Schizosaccharomyces pombe: one gene and its partners. The gene in region 1 interacts genetically with each later gene. Each region holds a gene or a part of one and is shown in the gene's direction. Other genes may lie near its edges. The genes, in order: myo51, rlc1, cdc8 and scs22.

What was found.
Region 2: mutations in myo51 (region 1) and rlc1 impair growth when combined (synthetic growth defect), as found in Schizosaccharomyces pombe (one study listed by BioGRID).
Region 3: of myo51 (region 1) and cdc8, changing one enhances a phenotype caused by changing the other (phenotypic enhancement), as found in Schizosaccharomyces pombe (one study listed by BioGRID).
Region 4: of myo51 (region 1) and scs22, changing one enhances a phenotype caused by changing the other (phenotypic enhancement), as found in Schizosaccharomyces pombe (one study listed by BioGRID).

The regions. Positions count from the first base shown.
Region 1 is NC_003423.3:2,989,620-2,996,571, reverse strand, and holds myo51 (myosin type V), read left to right. Parts: upstream 1-1,657; 5' UTR 1,658-1,757; coding exon 1,758-1,786; intron 1,787-1,841; coding exon 1,842-5,762; exon of another isoform or gene 5,763-5,801; coding exon 5,802-6,267; 3' UTR 6,268-6,384; downstream 6,385-6,952. Other genes in the region: protein mhf1, read right to left, coding at 1-63, 109-120; peptidyl-tRNA hydrolase Pth1, read left to right, coding at 506-601, 649-953, 993-1,038, 1,075-1,248; telomerase regulator Est1, read right to left, coding at 6,385-6,952. UniProt on the Schizosaccharomyces pombe protein: Involved in cytokinesis.
Region 2 is NC_003424.3:3,885,222-3,889,015, forward strand, and holds rlc1 (myosin II regulatory light chain Rlc1), read left to right. Parts: upstream 1-2,040; 5' UTR 2,041-2,348; coding exon 2,349-2,903; 3' UTR 2,904-3,276; downstream 3,277-3,794. Other genes in the region: SPOM_SPAC926.02 (uncharacterized protein), read left to right, coding at 1-810; protein Ina22, read right to left, coding at 876-1,049; Hsp90 chaperone, read right to left, coding at 3,553-3,794.
Region 3 is NC_003424.3:4,318,729-4,322,275, reverse strand, and holds cdc8 (tropomyosin), read left to right. Parts: upstream 1-2,040; 5' UTR 2,041-2,071; coding exon 2,072-2,089; exon of another isoform or gene 2,090-2,103; intron 2,104-2,148; coding exon 2,149-2,616; 3' UTR 2,617-3,029; downstream 3,030-3,547. Other genes in the region: protein Nuf2, read left to right, coding at 1-394; ubiquitin hydrolase Uch1, read left to right, coding at 801-1,469. UniProt on the Schizosaccharomyces pombe protein: Forms part of the F-actin contractile ring during cytokinesis.
Region 4 is NC_003424.3:4,477,421-4,481,743, reverse strand, and holds scs22 (VAMP/synaptobrevin-associated protein family protein), read left to right. Parts: upstream 1-1,792; 5' UTR 1,793-1,832; coding exon 1,833-2,022; exon of another isoform or gene 2,023-2,194; intron 2,195-2,251; coding exon 2,252-2,367; intron 2,368-2,448; coding exon 2,449-3,102; 3' UTR 3,103-3,105; downstream 3,106-4,323. Other genes in the region: SPOM_SPAC17C9.11C (zf-C2H2 type zinc finger protein/UBA domain protein), read right to left, coding at 10-586, 732-839; nuclear proteasome tethering factor Cut8, read right to left, coding at 3,106-3,894. UniProt on the Schizosaccharomyces pombe protein: Vesicle-associated membrane protein-associated protein (VAP) implicated in maintaining the cortical endoplasmic reticulum (ER)-plasma membrane (PM) attachment.

The DNA.
Region 1 (6,952 bases):
TTCAGAAGCTGTACGATTACAAACTTCTTGTGTAACGTGAAAAATCTCTGCTTTGAATCTCTCCTAGAATACCAGTTAGCCAATACCTATATTAAAATGCATTATTACCTCCTCCATCATATAACTTTGATTACTTTTTATTAATTTTCGTAATAATACGTTACTAAAAGTTAAGATAAGTAGTCTCCTTATAATTAAATGGCTAAAACATGAAATAGGTGGTTTCCAAGTTTCTTCGTAGTTTGAAACATTGTTTTATTAATCTAAACTAAAATATTATTTTCGTGGGGAGCTAACCGTGCTAAATACCAAAGAGTAGGCCAAAACCAATCAGTTGGAAAGTATTTATTAATCTTAATAAAACCTTGTGCCTAAATAAAAATTTTCTCAGAAAAAAGTCCATGGTGCAAACACAATTCTTGGTAAGTTGAAAATTCTGTTGAGGATGCTAAAGCTTTTTTTCAATCAAAAAAAATTTTTTTTAAAATAAGTACCAAAGTTCCGTATGGCAATAAAACATCTTCCTAAGATTTTAATTGCCAGGAAAAACAAAGCAGAAGTTAACCATTGCGACCTTAAAAGAAGAGTTTCTATAAAAATTGTTATGATCCGTAAAAGTCTTTCCAAAATGGGATACTAATCCGAAAGATCTATGGTTTAGGAAATCCAGGATCAGCGTTCGTCAAATCGAGACACTCACTGGGGAAATTAATGGTGAGTATGTACGCTGACAGCATGGCATTTCCAAAAAATTGGCCTAGTACCAAAGAAAATCTCACCTTGGTTTTGTCCACCTCATACATGAATGATTCCGGGAAACAGTTGAAAAAGATATCTAATGATTTTGTGCGCAAAGTTTCGCCATTAGACAAAATCGTATATGTAGTTGTGCATGACGAATTGGAGTTAGATTTAGGCAAAGTCAAGCTTCGTTTGCCCGGAGGCTCTCACAGGTAAGTAATATCCAAAGCAATACTTATTAACATTGCTAGGGGACACAATGGGATTCGCTCTTGTCAAGAATTCCTAGGAAAAGAAGTAAGGTACACATTTAATTTCATTACTAATTCAAAGAGTTTTTACAGGATTGGATTGGGAATTGGACGTTGTGAGTCAAGGAATAGGGAGGACGTTTCAGATTATGTTTTGAGTAAATTCAACTCTAATGAAATGAAACTAATTGAAACTGATATATTCCATAAGTTTTGCAACATTCTTCAACAATTACAACTTTCAATTGAAACATAGGGACTAAGTTAAGCTTAACTCATTGCGGGTTGTTCCTTGTAAAATTGATTGTTGATTATAAGAACTATGAAGCTACATTGTTCATTCCGTTTAAATAAATTATCAAAACCCACAGTCCATCATATTTTCAAGGCAATATTGGATTAAAAGATCAATACCTTTTTTATTGCTATATAAAATTGATAGATAAATAAATCTAAGATACAACAATTCATGAGAACAAACAGAGATTAAAAGACTAATTTAAAAGACCCGCTTAAAGCAATAAAAATTCAAAACCCTAAAATACCAATTTTCTTTGTTTTGCTTTCGAATTAAAGAAATTAGGCGTTGGGAAGTTTGGCGTAGCGATACGCTCTAGCGTGTTTGCTCGTAAATATTTATTTGTGTACATAGCACATCGAAACTCAAGTTACCCGATTTATAACTTTATTCCTTCTTTTGATATAGTTTTCCTTTTATACCACAGAAGATATTTTATTTTCAAAAGAAAGTAATTAAAAATTGCTATGAGTCATGCAAGATTATCGGTAGGCTCGTAAGTAAATTCTCAAAAAGTAAACACCCTTCTATTAACAATCGTTACAAATTAGGGAATGTTGGGTTTCCAATAATAACGGTCATTGGGATGCTGCTCGATTAATCGAAATAAAAGATAATGGAGGAGGTAAAGTCGTAGCAACTGTTGCAAAGAGCAGCGGTGTTTTAGAAACAGTGAATTACCAACAGTTACAAAATCGAAACATCGGTCAATCAGAGTCGCCTTCTGATTTAACGAATCTTCCTTATTTAAATGAGCCATCTGTCCTTCATGCCTTACATAATCGTTACAATAACAAGCAAATTTACACATATTCGGGAATCGTGCTTGTCTCAATAAACCCTTACCAAAATCTTCCCGAGTTTTACAACGACAATCTGATAAAACATTTCCATAAAGATCCCGAAGCAGCCAAAGTTCCTCACCTATACTCTATAGCAAGTTCTTGTTACCATGCTTTAACTACAGATTCCAAGAATCAGACTATTATTGTGTCTGGAGAATCAGGTGCAGGCAAAACAGTTGCTGCTAAGTATATTATGCGTTACTTGACCTCGGTACAGGGAGTAGATCATAATGGTGTTGTTAAACGCTCTGTTGAGAATCAAGTTCTCGCTACTAATCCTATTATGGAAGCATTTGGTAACGCAAAAACTATCAGAAATGATAACTCTTCACGTTTTGGTAAATATGTTACCATAAGCTTTGATGAAAACTTGTTGATTACCGGAGCAAATGTAAACACATATTTACTTGAAAGATCCCGAGTAGTCTCTTTACTTAAAGGGGAAAGAAATTATCACATTTTTTATCAGCTAATTACTGGATGTACAGAGGAACAAAGGGATAAATGGTTTCTTGAGTCTGCGTCTTCTTTTAATTATTTATCACAAGGAAATTGTGATGAAATATCTGGCGTTGACGACAGTAATGACTTTACTATAACTTGCAGAGCTCTTTCAACTATTGGTATTTCAGAGTCAAGGCAGGAGGATGTATTTTGTCTACTTGCTGCCTTACTCCACCTTGGTAACATTGAAGTCTGTGCAACAAGAAATGAAGCACAAATACAGCCCGGTGATGGGTATCTTCAGAAAGCTGCTTTATTACTTGGTGTCGATTCATCTACGCTTGCTAAATGGATTGTTAAAAGACAACTGAAAACTAGATCCGAAACCATTATTACCTCATCAACTTTGGAACATGCTATTAGCATAAGAGACTCTGTCGCTAAATATTTATATTCCGCACTGTTTTTGTGGATTGTTCACATGATTAATGCATCACTTGACCATAACAAAGTTAAAAGAGCTGCCTACAAATATATTGGTGTTGTTGATATTTATGGCTTCGAACATTTCGAAAAAAATTCGATGGAGCAATTCTGTATTAATTATGCTAATGAAAAACTTCAACAAGAATTTAATAAGCACGTTTTTAAACTAGAACAGGAAGAATATGTTAAAGAAGGATTAGACTGGCGACTTATAGAATATTCTGACAATCAAGGTTGCATATCCTTAATCGAAGACAAATTAGGGATACTCTCGTTGTTGGATGAGGAATGTCGCTTACCTTCAGGGAACCACCAATCGTTTTTACAAAAATTAAATAATCAACTTCCTACAAAACACTCTCAGTTCTATAAAAAATCTAGATTTAATGATGGTTCATTTATGGTTAAACATTATGCTTTGGACGTTAGTTATCAAGTACACGATTTTTTAGCAAAAAATTCGGATGCCATACCTGATGAGTTTATAAGTTTACTACAAAACTCAAAAAATGAGTTTATAACTTATCTGCTAGACTTTTATATGCAGTTGGTTTCTTCTCAAAATAAAAATCCTAGAAAGACTGCTATAAGCAGGAAACCTACACTTTCATCAATGTTTAAATCTTCTTTGTCTCAATTAATGACAACTGTTTCCTCTACTAATGTTCATTACATTCGATGCATTAAGCCTAATGAAGAAAAGCTTCCTTGGACGTTCTCCCCGCCGATGGTGCTCTCACAACTCAGGGCCTGCGGTGTTTTTGAAACAATTAGGATATCCTCGTTAGGGTTTCCTGCTCGATTTTCGTATGAGGAATTTGCTCATCGATTCCGCATTTTGTTGTCTTCTAAAGAATGGGAGGAAGATAATAAAAAGTTGACTCTTAATATTGTTAACTCTGTAATTCCTCATGATAACCTAAACTTTCAAGTTGGTCGCTCCAAAATATTTTTCAGATCAAACGTTATTGGAAATTTTGAAGAAGCCCATCGAGCTACATGTAGCAAATCGACAGTTTTATTACAGTCTGCTATAAGAGGCTTCTTTACTCGGAAGGAGTATCAAAGAACTGTAAAATTTATCATTAAACTACAATCGGTTATTATGGGCTGGTTAACTCGTCAACGTTTTGAGCGAGAAAAAATTGAACGAGCAGCCATTCTTATTCAAGCTCATTGGCGATCTTATATCCAACGCAAAAGATATTTGTCCCTTATCAAATGTGCTATTGTTATTCAATCAATAGTTCGGAAGAATATCGCATATTCTCGTTATATAAATGAGTTAAGGGAAAGTTCTGCTACACTTCTTGCAAAATTTTGGCGAGCGTACAACGCAAGAAAAACTTTTAGAGGTTTGAAGAAGTCAGTTATTGCTCTGCAATGTGTGTCGCGCTCTGTATTAACCAGAAGATATCTTCGCAGATTACAAGATTCGGCGGGCAGGACTAGCATTCTTTATGAGAAGCAAAAGAACCTGCAGGCTTCTATAACCGAAGTATCCAAACAGTTGAAATCAAATAGCAAAAAAGTAACAGTTTTAAGGAATAAGCTTAATATTTTAAATAACTCACTATCGAAATGGAAGTGTTTAATTAAGAAGCCCAGTGACTTTTCTGAACCCGTTAGTATGGATTTTACTAGCAACGATGAACAGCTTGTGCAACTTTTGCAAGCCGAATCAAAGCTTCGGCAAGCATCTCAGCAACTTTATATGGCAGCCAAAAAATCGGAGTTGGGATTTGTTCAATCTCAAACTGCCCGAGAGAACTTGTCGAATTATTACCAAGCTTTACAGATGACAGTTTCTGAAAAATTTGAATATGATACTGAACAACTACCTTCCCGTGTTCTTTTTTACGCAATGGATAGATACTTCTCCATCCACAAAAAACTCAAACAGCTTCTTGAATTAGTTGGTGTTGAAAATGCATCTCTCTTACCTAATGAAGTTGTTAATAAACAAACTAAAGATTTATTGTATGAGAAAAGGGTTGTTTTTTTAAAGCAAATTAAGCAAGCTCTCACGGTTTCTTCTTTGTTTAATGCAGTTGGTTACAAAGATGGTGTTATGAGGTTGTTAGAAACGGATCAGAACTCACTACTTTTTGCTGGGGTAGTAAACTTTCTAATTTTTGCAGGTATTAGCCTTGATTTGAAGACACAAATCAGTGAGTTTTTGAGCCAATTGTGTTCCTATTTCACTAAAATCGTTGACGGTACAGTTATTGAAAATGATAAAACTCTAGATTTCTATGAAAAACCTCTACAAGCGGTTTTGTATTGGTTCGCAACGTTACACAAAATTCGTTCATTTTTAGTGCATCTTTTATCTATTAATTCACATGGAAAGCAAAGTGTGGTAGAGGATTTATGGAATCCGTTGATTTTGAAATTCTCAAAACATTTTTCTAATCTGGAAAATTCATTTCATTCCTTGGTCCAGAAACTATTAAGTTGTTGTACCGAGGGATCGATTAATGCTCTTTTAAATTCAAAATGTTTACCAGAGTTTATCGATGCGGCTGATGAGAACACAACACCTACTGGAATGAATATTTATGAGTTGATAGACAGAATGAATTTAATACACAAATTATTAATATCTTCTGCCTTGCAACCAAATTTATTGGAATTGACTATATCTCACATGCTTCAACATATAGGACAACGTGCCTTTCAAACATTAATTCATGGGTAAGGCAGCTATCAAAAAAACTATCACTAACATTCTAGCCGGTCACCGTACACTTGGAAATCTGCTTCTCAGGTTTCCTATAATGCCTCGCTGTTGATTAACTGGTGTCATCAAAAGGGTATTAGTTATGTTAACTCGTCACTATTGCCTTTAATGCAGTCTCCTTTGGTATTTTGCCTTCGTAAAAACGATGCAAACGATTTGGATGTTATTCTCTCTGTTTGTAATTTACTTTCGCCATTTGAAGTTGTATGCCTCCTAAATAGGTATCAGCCATGCGCTGGTGAAAATCCTCTACCAAAATCCTTTTCAAAAGCCGTAGAGGCATTATCTTGTAAGTATAAGCAATCTGGTTTTACAAATGGTAAAATCACAAACACTAATGGGCACGCTATTCCTATAGCTGCTTCTAAAAACCCTTTATTATCACTTGAAAATAATCATATATACGAAGAGCTTCGACTTTCAGAGTTGATAAACTTATTGGCTAAAGCTACATTATAAGCTTTTTATCAAGTATCATTAAACGTTACACCCGATCAATATTTTTAATTTATATTAGTACTCATTAATACTATATTCTTATCATTCTCTGTTAATTCAAAGCATCATATAGTAACTTCAGGAAAGCAATAAATTTAGTATTTTGGATATTTGATAAAATCGTTTGATCGATTCCGAAAATGGATGAGTAGTATAGTCGGGTGGGTTTATATTTAACTTTGGCCCTATAATGTCTTCGTTCAATCTTTTAAATAAACAAATGAAAGATTTGCATAATCCGAATTCATTGTAGTCCTCAAAAAGGTTTAACATTTTATTTTCTGAAGATTCTTTAAAAAACTTTTCACAAATTCTGAAATGATAACTCAATTGTTCTAATTCGTTCCGCTCAATGAATCCAAAAGCTGGAGAACTTTCAAGCACCCTTGCTAGTATCACCTTAATACTTGGTAAACAGGAAGTTAAGTAAGACGTTGGAGCACGCTCTGATTCAACTTCTTTAGCACAAGCAAGCGTTTGATGAAATAACCAAGAAGAAAATCGGTAATAGAAACTTCTCAGACGATCGTTACAGTTGAAATAACGACAGTGTAAAAGATTTGAAAAGGCAGATGATATGTAGTAAAGATTTTTTTTTTCATATCCTACATTTCTGATGTTCGACTGTAATAATGAATTCTCCAAA
Region 2 (3,794 bases), on another chromosome or scaffold:
TCGCAACAAAAATATGAAGAAATACCTGACATACAGGCTCGACGATTATACTTTATAGAAGCAGACAAAGAGGCATCGACATTAGTTACCGAAATTGCTTCTTTAGCATGCAGTTGCAAGTTACTTGAAGAATCAGATTTTGAGAAACTCTGTCAGATAATGCTACCGATTACGGAAAAACTCGATATATTAAAGCTAATGGACTGGTACTTGGCGAAAACCAAACGTTTAGTACTTGGTGGTAAAGAAAATGAGGTGGCATGGATTGATTTACTGCAAGTTTTTGACCATCAACTTAGCCAATTACCACAGCTAAACTTGCAAAACCCGTTGGATCCGAACTCGTCTGTTAAACCTTTGCATATTCAATTGCTGTGCGACAAAGCCGATGCATACATAGACTTTGCAGAGACGCTACTAGATTCCTGCGTATCTACAGAAGAAAGCGCATCTATTGAAATAATGACTAGAGCCTGGAATATGTTAGGAGTAGCTGCCAAAAGTTTAAAGATGGCTAACACTTACAATCCTAATCATGTAAGAATACTCATTTCTAGAGCTGACTTAGAGATTCAACGTGCAGCTATCCCCATCATGGTAGCTCAAAACTCCAAACTTGTGTTGTATAAAAATGCCAAAGTATTATACGAAAAAGCATTCCGTGATTATTCAACCAAAAAGACAACAAGAACGTTTGCGGAGATTGTCTTAAAGCATTATCAACTACAGAAATTGACCAACCCAGAAACGATTAAGATGCTGGACTCCTTAACTGAGGTTGCTCAAGAAGACATTCTCAATACCATTTAAAGAAACAGACGTTTCTTACTTAATTTGGCAGGCTAATTAGTGAATCCAATTATAAATATAAAGTTTTACTTTGTTTCATTACTTGTATCATCAAATTCATGTTTCGCTAGCCGAATTTTTGCATCGTATTGTTTCATACGCTCCAAATGATCTTGCTTCAGAGCATTCAGATGAAATGCTTCGCTACCGATGATGAGCCATAATAGCCCGAACGTATACGTTGATGACCAACGTAACATGGAAAAAATTGACTTTTAACTAAAAAAAACTGTTTCTAATATCTTTGGTGTGCAAGTTCAGACTCAGTATTTGGAGTAGCTGCTGTAATTAATCGATATAATATAAATCACAAATGATTGAGCCTTTTAAAGGCGTTGAACACTTAAGAATCAAAACTCCAAAATACCGAAAGACAAAGAGAAAAAGAAAATCAATATTTTTCGCTCGAAATAAGGATTACCATTAAGACAAGTTTTGACTGTACGGAACTGTGTAGGATAACGGTAAATCAATTTTCTGCAATGCTTTGATATTTATTGACTTTCATTAAATCTCTGTAAATCAGAATTTCTATTGTCTATCTAGTTTTGTCCATTAAATCAGAAATTATTCAGTTTCTATTATTGTTACTTTTTATTTATAATAAGGATTTGTTTAATTCAACCGAATAATGCTAGTTGGTTCTTAAAGTCATACTCCTTATTTCCTTCATTCCCAGCCTACTCAGTCTTTGCCCGCAAAAAGATATTTCAAGGCCTATTTGATTTAACTCATTTATTCAAATTTCACTTTTTGTTAACTGAGTTTTACTTTTGTTCAACCTTGACAGCTCAGCGAAATTAGTGTAAATAAATAAAATCAAAAGAAGCGCTAATTCAAGAGGCCTTTTTGATTCTACTTTTTACTGTGTATACAACTTATAAATGACATTATATCCTTGACAAATTTGCTTACGTTTGTTTCAACTTTTATTAACCCCTCGAAATTAAATTATTATTATGCTCATGGCATTGTTGATCAAACATTGAGATTTGATTAAGCATATAAAATAATAATCATAAGAAATAAAACACTATGATAAATATAATTCTTCTAAATGTATACTAAAAAAAAAAATCCTTGAGAGTTCGCCTTTTCTCTAATTTTAACGGCACCAAACGTGGGTCATTAAAGACTAACATCTCCTTTGTTCTCAGTATTCCATGCCTATGTTAAATTCTGAGACTTACCAAGAGCTTGAATATCAACAATCATAGGTTACTTCCTATATGTCTATTTATAGATTTTTTTACAACTAATTGTCAGATACATTTACTTAGAGAATTCTTAGCTTTCCCTTTTGAATATTTCAAGTCTTAGCATTTAGTGACTGATTTAGACTCCTTTTTTATGACTTGCTGATATCCTCGCCTTACGGTGTATAAAATTCATATTTACCGCTATTGCAGTAAGGGCAGCAGTTTTTTTCATTTCTTAATTCTTCCGTACTTTACTTTACAGCATAACTATATCTTATTTGATCATTTGCTCTGTTAACGATGTTCTCTTCGAAGGAAAATTCCTTAGGTGCTAAACGTGCCCCATTTTCATCAAATACAACATCTTCTCAAAGAGTTGCTGCCCAAGCCGCTAAACGAGCATCTTCTGGTGCATTTGCGCAACTTACTTCTTCCCAAATTCAAGAACTTAAAGAGGCTTTTGCCCTATTAGACAAAGATGGTGACGGTAATATTGGAAGAGAGGATGTCAAAACCATGCTTACTTCTTTGAATCAGGATGCCTCCGAAGATTCAATCAATCACATGTTTGAGTCAATAAATCCGCCTATTAATTTAGCCGCTTTTCTCACTGCGATGGGTAGTATGCTGTGTCGAATCTCCCCCAGAAATGATCTACTAGAAGCGTTCTCTACATTCGATGATACTCAATCCGGCAAAATTCCAATTTCCACTATGAGAGATGCTTTGTCAAGTATGGGTGATAGAATGGATCCTCAAGAAGTCGAGTCTATTTTACGCTCGTACACCAGTCATGGTGTATTCTATTACGAGAAATTCGTTGATGCTATTGCTGGGTCAAAAGATAGCAATTGAGTTAAGAGCAGCCAGATATGTTTCACATTCTTCCCTCTAATACTTTATCTTTTTAACCTGAGCCATTTCCCTTAGACGAATTTTCCTCTTCTCTTTTAACTTTTTATGAAAGCATTTGATACATTTATGTTCGTTGTGACCTATACTTTATGTGTCTCAATACTTAGCTACTCTCTGCGACTTTACTATTATTTGCAGTGTTTAGTGAGTTAGAGCTTAGGCTTAATGTCATTAACCATATTTTCATTCGAGGGTTCAATTAATGTATGAATAAATCTATATTAGCCCAGCATACCTATGTTCCTCATCAAAATTATCCTACCTTGTAAAACAGCTCTCACATGACTAGAAAAAAATAACTTTTAAGCACCAACTTGTACTTGTTAGTAGTATAAACTACATTATTCGAAAACAAAATTTGATGTACTAATAAGTATCCATAAACTTTAATATTACTAATCAACATTCCATATTATAACAACTTCCAAACAACCTGTAATCTAGTGTGTATTAAGAAAAATCGTGTAGAAAGAAATTTTTGAATGACAACAGACACTAGAATCGTTAACAATGTATAGGATAACTTGCTTTAATCCAAGAAAAACATTATATGCATAAATTTTGGAAAGACACATTAGATGCATTTGATTTAATCGACTTCCTCCATCTTGCTCTCAGCATTGTTTTCAGCAGCGACGGATTCGGTAGAAATTTCCTCAATAGGAGCCTCCTCCTCTTCGTCAATGCTAAGACCAAGAGAAATAAGACGGTTGATACGTTGAGCATAAGCACTAGGGTCATCAAGAGTGAAACCAGAGGACAACAAGGCGGTCTCATACAAAATAGTAGCAAGATCCTTCACAGAGCGGTCTTCGGCACCATTCTCCTCAA
Region 3 (3,547 bases), on another chromosome or scaffold:
GCTTTCTACAAATCAAGAGCTTTGCGATCAAATAGAAATAAACAAAAAAAAACTTGAGTTCAGAAAAGAACAACTTTTAAAGCAATTATCTAATGCTCAAGAAAAACTCGAGCATGAACAACATTCTCGAAATCAAAAACTTGAGGCTGCCAAACAACGAATGGACAACATACGGGAAGAATACAAAGTAATTACCCAAGAAAGGAATAAAAAGATTCAGGAGACTGAAAAGAAAAATGCCATGATAGAGATGACCGAACAAAAAATTGCTGGAATGCGAGAAGAACTGGAGTCTCAAATATCCTCTATAACTATGGAATTCGAAAAATTGAAATCGCACGTGGAGCTTTATATTGCTGAACTTCTCAGAAACTTAAGGTCTTCTAACTCTTAGTATCTTCATTTTGAAAAATCTTTATTCGTGCAAATATTTCAACACTACCTATAAGAACGTTGGTTGGACTTCGAAGCCAGAATTTTAGATTTTACAGTAAATGTATATAGGTAAATCTTGGTAATTATTAATATTTTATGACTCTATTTATAATATACCTATGGAACAATCCCTATTTTTACAGTCATCTTCATAGCTGAACGTGACAGGATATTGAAGTATAGGATACTGATTATAGTAAAGCTTTTTTGTAGATTCCCAAAATTGGCAATCTAAAGATATTCGATTAACTTTGTCAAACTTTGGTGTTTTGCCTCTTTGCTGACTTCTGAGACCTCTGCCACGCCTTCCAAACCTGATCAAAAAAGCCTCAATTAGAGCCATTTATCATTCGAGAAAAATTACAATGTGGAGGCCTTTAGAAAATACACCAGAGGTGCTGGAACCTTACTTACAAAAAATCGGTGTACAAGATGCTAGCGTTTTTGACCTGTTTTCATTAGAGGAAATCCCCGAATATATCCCTCGTCCTGTCCATGCTCTTTTATTCGTTTTTCCATCCTCAGGAACAAAAACTATATATAAAGGATCACGAATTTTACCAAAGGATAGTGACAAAGTCTTGTGGTACCCTCAAACAATTCCAAATGCTTGCGGAACGATTGGATTGCTACATGCGGTTTCGAATGGAGAACTTAGAAGAAAAGTCAATGAAAATGATTTTATTAAAAGTCTAATCAGAACTGCTGAAGGTTCATCTATCGAAGAAAGGGCTAAGCTTATCGAGGATTCGAAAGAACTTGAAGCTTTACATGCAGCATTTGCTGGTCCACCTTTGGAAGTAGAGGGGTCTGAGGAAGATGTAGAAACTGATCTTCATTTTATCTGTTTTGTAAAGGGAAAATCAAAGGACGACAATCATTTTTATGAGCTAGACGGCCGCCAAGAGGGGCCCGTGCAACATTCTGAAATTGAAAGTGATTTACTGAATGCCGAAGTACTTTCAGTTATTAAAAATTATATTCAGAGTATTGATTCTCCTTTCTTTTCTCTTGTCGCAATTACGACTCCGTAACCTATGTAAGCTAAATGTTGTGAAACTTAATGAAATGATTACTTTGGCAATTGGAAGTATGATAATAGCCATTTAAAATATTGCTTCTTAAATACCTGTTTCCAACTAATTCCTAGTCTGTATGTGTGTAAATATGAAATTAACAAGCGGACCTCTTTATAATTGTATAACTAAATGATTAAATATTATTGATATATGCCATTTTTCTTTAGCAGTAGAGAGCTCTTAAAATTTCAGTCATAAATACAAAAATCAGGCATTGTTTAAATCACTTCATTCCAAACTTGAAAATCTATTGCAGGAACACTTCGATTATAATTTACAAATGTTTGACTACTGTTTTTAACTTTGCTCTTTTAACGCTTATTTCTTTGATGAAATTAACAATCTGGTGTGTTGTAAGCAAAGCCTCAACTTCTTTGTTCTTTGATGAACAAAGCGCTTTACTGTAGAGCTTGTGTGTATTTCTTTGTAATAAATTAGTAAATAGAACTTTCTTGTACCGTCAATTAATTCACCACCCTTACCGTGGTATATGCATGTCAAACACACCCATCGGTATCTTCCCTCCACCATCAAGGAAAGAAGGAAACAGTAGGAAAATGGATAAGCTTAGAGAGGTATGAGATGATAGCTTTTCATTGGAAAATCAAGTTGCTAATATTTGCTTTTTATTTAGAAAATTAATGCCGCTCGTGCTGAGACTGATGAGGCTGTCGCTCGTGCTGAAGCAGCTGAAGCCAAGTTGAAAGAAGTTGAACTTCAACTTTCTCTTAAAGAGCAAGAATATGAGTCTCTTTCGAGGAAAAGCGAAGCCGCCGAGTCTCAACTCGAAGAGTTAGAAGAAGAAACTAAGCAGTTACGTCTCAAAGCCGACAATGAAGATATTCAAAAGACGGAAGCCGAGCAGTTGAGCCGTAAAGTTGAGCTTTTAGAGGAAGAACTAGAAACTAATGACAAGCTACTTCGCGAAACCACCGAAAAGATGCGTCAAACTGATGTTAAGGCTGAGCATTTTGAACGTCGCGTCCAATCTCTAGAGCGTGAGCGTGATGATATGGAACAGAAACTAGAAGAAATGACTGACAAGTATACTAAGGTCAAGGCTGAATTAGATGAAGTTCACCAAGCTCTTGAGGATTTGTAGATAGCGAAAAGCTTGACGAACATAGAAGAAACATACCACCTTTTTTATATCTTCTATTTGCTGTCATTCTTTTTCTTTCTTACTTTGTCAACTAGCTAAGTTCGACCTCACTTTTTATGGTTTATATTTAGCGAAAAATGATTTGATTTTGGTATGGAACACTGTTTTCTTTCTTTAGTCAACTTACTGGTGTTACCTTTTTACGAGAATCAGTATTTATGATATCAAATGTCTGAGTATTGTAAATTGAGAAGAAATGTGCCCTTATCTTCCCGATTCCCACCACTTTCCCTTCTAACTTAAATAACATTTTGTAAGCATAACTGTCTTAATGTTATCTGAATGATAAGCTTTTATTTTTTTTCGAATGCCAACTCTTTAATAAAGACTTCTATATGATAAATACCGTCTTTATCTTTCCTTTTTTTTACGATGTAAATATTGAAGTTTGCTAGGCTGAAATCGGTATTTTGTAAGTTGTTTATACACGTCTACCTTAAAGTAATTCGTGCAAACGAGTGGTCGTGCTTTTGTTAGGGGATCATTATAGTTAGGTTTGTCTTACTTTATTGTATGAATGACATTCATCTTCAGCGCGGGTTTTTTAAAATCAATCTATTTTGCAGAATCACAATACCTGTTAAACTCACATTTTCTATGAATTTACCTATTTGTTAAATTGCCTTTTATTTTATTTTATTATTTTTTTTTTGGAAATCCGATATCCGTACACGTTGAAGAGCATTGTTAGGCATCGTAAGCATAATCAAAGTTGAATCAACTAAAAACATAAGATGTTAACGTAAATAAAAAGAATATCTTAATGTATTGACATGTATTGCCATTTACATGTTCTACTTGATATAAATTTACATAAACCTTTATCGGAATAACGAGGTACAGGGTTTGCGTTAATGTGCTACTTTGGTTA
Region 4 (4,323 bases), on another chromosome or scaffold:
GATACTTACCAAGTTGGTTAACCGGTTTATCAAATACATCAGTGCCGTATGAGGCACGGGGAAAGGTAGTGGTAAACTTAGTTGGCGGTGACACGTTCATTTTCTCAGCGACCTGTTGTGCCAATTGGCGTAGCGTCTCCTCAGCTGCAATAGTTATATTACAAACTTGACCATCGTGTCGGATAGAAAATCTGCCTGATGTAGGAGGGGTGCGAGTACAAGTAGAAGACGAATTGGCATTTTTAGGCTGCTTGATGGGAGCAGCCGTTTCTTTTACAGAAGAATTCTTATTTTCCCGTTCTGCAGCTCGTCGTTTTTTATCGCGTTCAATTTCTGCGAGGATTTTCTTACGCTGCTCAGCATCTTCAGCCTTTTGTTGACGGATCTTTTGCAAGTCACGTAAGCGGGCTTGATCCTGCATCTTTCTCATAGCCTGTGCAGTTTCATCATTGGATTTTTGAAGGATTTTATAATTTGTCTTCTTCTCTTCCAGAGCCAAAATCCTTTCTTTTTCCTTTTTCTCCTTTGCTTTCTCTCTTAAAGCTTCAATAGCTTGTTTTAACTCTTCGGGAGAACGCTTCTTAATCTATGTTTTATAATCGTTGTTAATAAAAAGAAAGGATCGAGTGAAACAAATTATTGTTTTCGTGAATTATAATAATAAGGATGGTTAACAATTCGAACGCTTCAACCATTCAGCAAAAAGTAAAAGGAGTAAAATCTATACATACCTCTTCTTCAGTTTCCTCAAATTGATCATGACTGGTTTTGGTACTATGAAATTCAGCCATTTCGATGGAGGAAAGCAATTTATCGCATTCCAAACATTTCAAAACCATTTTTGTGTAGAGTTTGTAGTTGCAAAAGGCAAATTACAATGACGCTCAAAAATAGCCCTACGTTCCATCGACTCAACATCTAACGTGCTAATATCTACAATATCGTATTACCAAACATCGCAGTTGAGAGCATTATAAATTTGTTGGTCATTGAAATAGAAATGACAGGTCAAATGAAACAAAATAATTGTAGTTACCACCGATTACGCTATGAATTAGAAGAATAAATGATTGTATATATTGCACGACATCCGCAGACCGATGATTGAAAATGATTACTGACTTTCGTGATCCTGTAGTTGGCATCCACTCGAGTAATTCGTTTCCTTTATACATGGTATGCTTTCTAAAGCATCGCTGATATTCCTTGAAATAAAAATGTTGATTTTTCCCTAGCATAATGACCATTAACGAAAGTATACAATATCTATTTAATGATTGTCTAAACCAAAAAACGTATTTCCTTTGAATAGAAAGTGTAAACGAATGCGCAATTTTTTTTTGAAATCATAATGTTTACTTCATCCTTGCATTCTTAAGTTGTAATTAAGACAATTCAAACGCATTAACATGACATTTAGAAATTAAAAAGGATAACTTGAATCATCCTTTTTGGGTATTTATATCATTTATTAATTTCACAAACAATAAATCCATATACTTATTGGGATTTTATAACCATACTGCATTCGTACATTATTCACCTACTGCAAAATATTTTTTAGCATATATTACTTTTTACTTTCAAAATATCACATTTATTTTAATAATATCGTTATAAGGCTTTGTATAATATCGATGAAAACAGTTACTTGAATAATTATCTCCTTTTATTTCAGTATCCATATATTACCATAATCTTTGCTCAGCCTCGGAAAATCACACACAAGTATGTGTGACGTAAAGCCACGATTTTTGGCTACACTGCGAAATGGTACTTCGCAGAGTAAAGTAGTACCACCTCTCGCAACAAACTCGCCTTTCCCGTAAATCATGGCTCTTGAATGTGATAGTACAATTGTGTTTCCTCGACCACTTACACGACTAGTAAAATGTGATTTAGAACTTCGCAATACTGCACCTTATCCGATCGGATTCAAAGTGAAAACTACTGCTCCTAAACAGTACTGTGTGAGACCCAACGGTGGTCGAATTGAAGCCAATTCGGCTGTAAGTGTTGAAGGTAAGATAATTTATATTTAATTTTGAACCTCATTTGCATTTTTTGATTTTATTCGTTTAAGCGGTTCCCATCATTGATGTTGTCGGGTGGAACAAAAACGTTGTCATCAACGTGATTTTCTTTTGCAAACTAACAGTTTTTATTGTTTTTGTGCGTGCACTGGAAGATAATTTGTGCTCATTAGTTATTGCTGTAAATTTTCATTTACTAACTTCTTTTTTTTTAATAGTTATCCTACAGCCTCTAGATCACGAACCGGCTCCTGGCACAAAATGCCGCGATAAATTTTTGGTCCAGAGCACTGAATTGAAGCCAGAATTACAGGGAATGGATATAGCAGATATTGTATGTGATAAAAGATATACTTACATTTACTTTTTTAATACATGCCATACATAATTGATGTTCTAACCAATACTTTAATAGTGGACTCAAGTCAGCAAGGCTAATATATCGGAACGAAAAATTCGATGTGTTTATAGTGAAGGCCCCAGTACTGCAAATGCTCATGCTAATGCTCACCATCAACCAGCTCAAACAACGACTACATCTATTCCTACTTCTGCCACTGACAATTATACCACAGTAAATGGTAATGTTAATCAATCTTACTCTAAAGGAATAGACGGAACGGCACTTCCTTCGACCCATGCAAATCCCGTAGCTGCTCCATCTACAGCTACTACACAGCATACCCAGCTTCCTAAAACATCTGCAGTTTCTCACCAGAAGCCCCATGAAGCCCCATCTACTGCCGTAAAAGCTCCTACTGCAACAGTCGCTGAAAATGAACCTTACCCAAAGCCTCAGTCAGTGCCTACTACCACTTCTCCTAACAATGAAAATAATGCATTAAGATCTACCGCTAATGTAATTAATAACACAAGACAATCAACAGCTACGAGTCCATCTATGTTCGCTGGAAACAGTGGAAATCAAATAGGACTTGCACGCGTTTCATCGTCTTTTGGGCGTCCGACTAGTGGTGCCAAGGTTGTTCCTCAAATTCATAACACAGTTACTGTGCAAACCGCTTTCCTATTAGCCATTATATGTTTCCTTATAGGCCTTCTGTTCTAGTTTTTAAATATATTGATGCATACTGTGCCAACCCATTCCATTGTCATTCCCAATGTTCATACTATTAGTATGACGATGAAAATTGTTTTGTGGATTTGTTTGTTGAAAAGTATGACTTCTTTCATGTACAAGTGGCTCATTTTTTTGTAATTGCTTAAGGTAATTTAATGCCTCTTCCATTCTGTTTTGTGATGTTTTATTGTGCTCTTCCAACTCTTCCAAAGGTAGTAAAGGGACTACAGGCCGATCCTCAAGTTGTCTTAAAACAACAAGCCACGCGCCCGTTAATTCATAGTACGCTTGACTTTTATAAACATTATGGTTGGGATTATGGAATTCTGGCAGTTCGTGGACAACGTTTGTAGCGGCATCAAGAAAAGTAATATTTTTCTCAAAACAAGTAGAGTATGGAGGTAAATAACAAGGAACCATATCATTAAGCGCATGTAAGACAGCCATGTACTTTTCACGAATTCTATTAAATGCGTAATCACCCCTCTTGTCACCACCATAGGGAAATGAGTCATTCAAGTTAATTAAAAGTTTACGCAACGTTTCAACACAAGTATCCATGGACGGCGCCGGTAATATGCCCCGTATATCACGTGCGAGATCAGGATGCTTTTCTACACATTGTAATAAAATTGTAAAAAGCTGTTGTTTGTCTGAATATTGTAGCAGTCTCGACAATGGCAGTTGCTCACCCACAGGTAGTTGACGAGCACGCTTAGAAATGTCTTCGTCAAAATCAGCTTTGCGTTTCTTAATCTGAGAATAAGATAAGGTCTCCATGAATTAAGGAAATGAACAGTAACAACAAATAAAGATACCAACTTCAAACGTGAAATCGTCTGATTAATTATAACAAAGAAAATGAAAATTACAAAGAAATGGATATTCCAAAAGAAAGAGGAAAAAATTTCAAAAGTAGTAACAATAAAACAAAGATAGAGGATACTTTGTTAATGAGCTTCCTTTTTTAAAAGCCGGAAGGATGGCTATTGCTCAGTGTATCGACTTATGAAAGCTAGCAATTTAATTTTTTTCTCAGCCCAAATGAAATAAAACCGTCGATTATAATTTCTATATTACAAGAAGCTCTATTGCCCGCAATACCAGCTCAATTAGAACCTCGATTTCTTAAAAAAGATAATGGAAAATGGTAAGAACAATTTAGTGGCTCAAGAGTTTTCTTCTCATGAGACGTTACCAAACTATTAC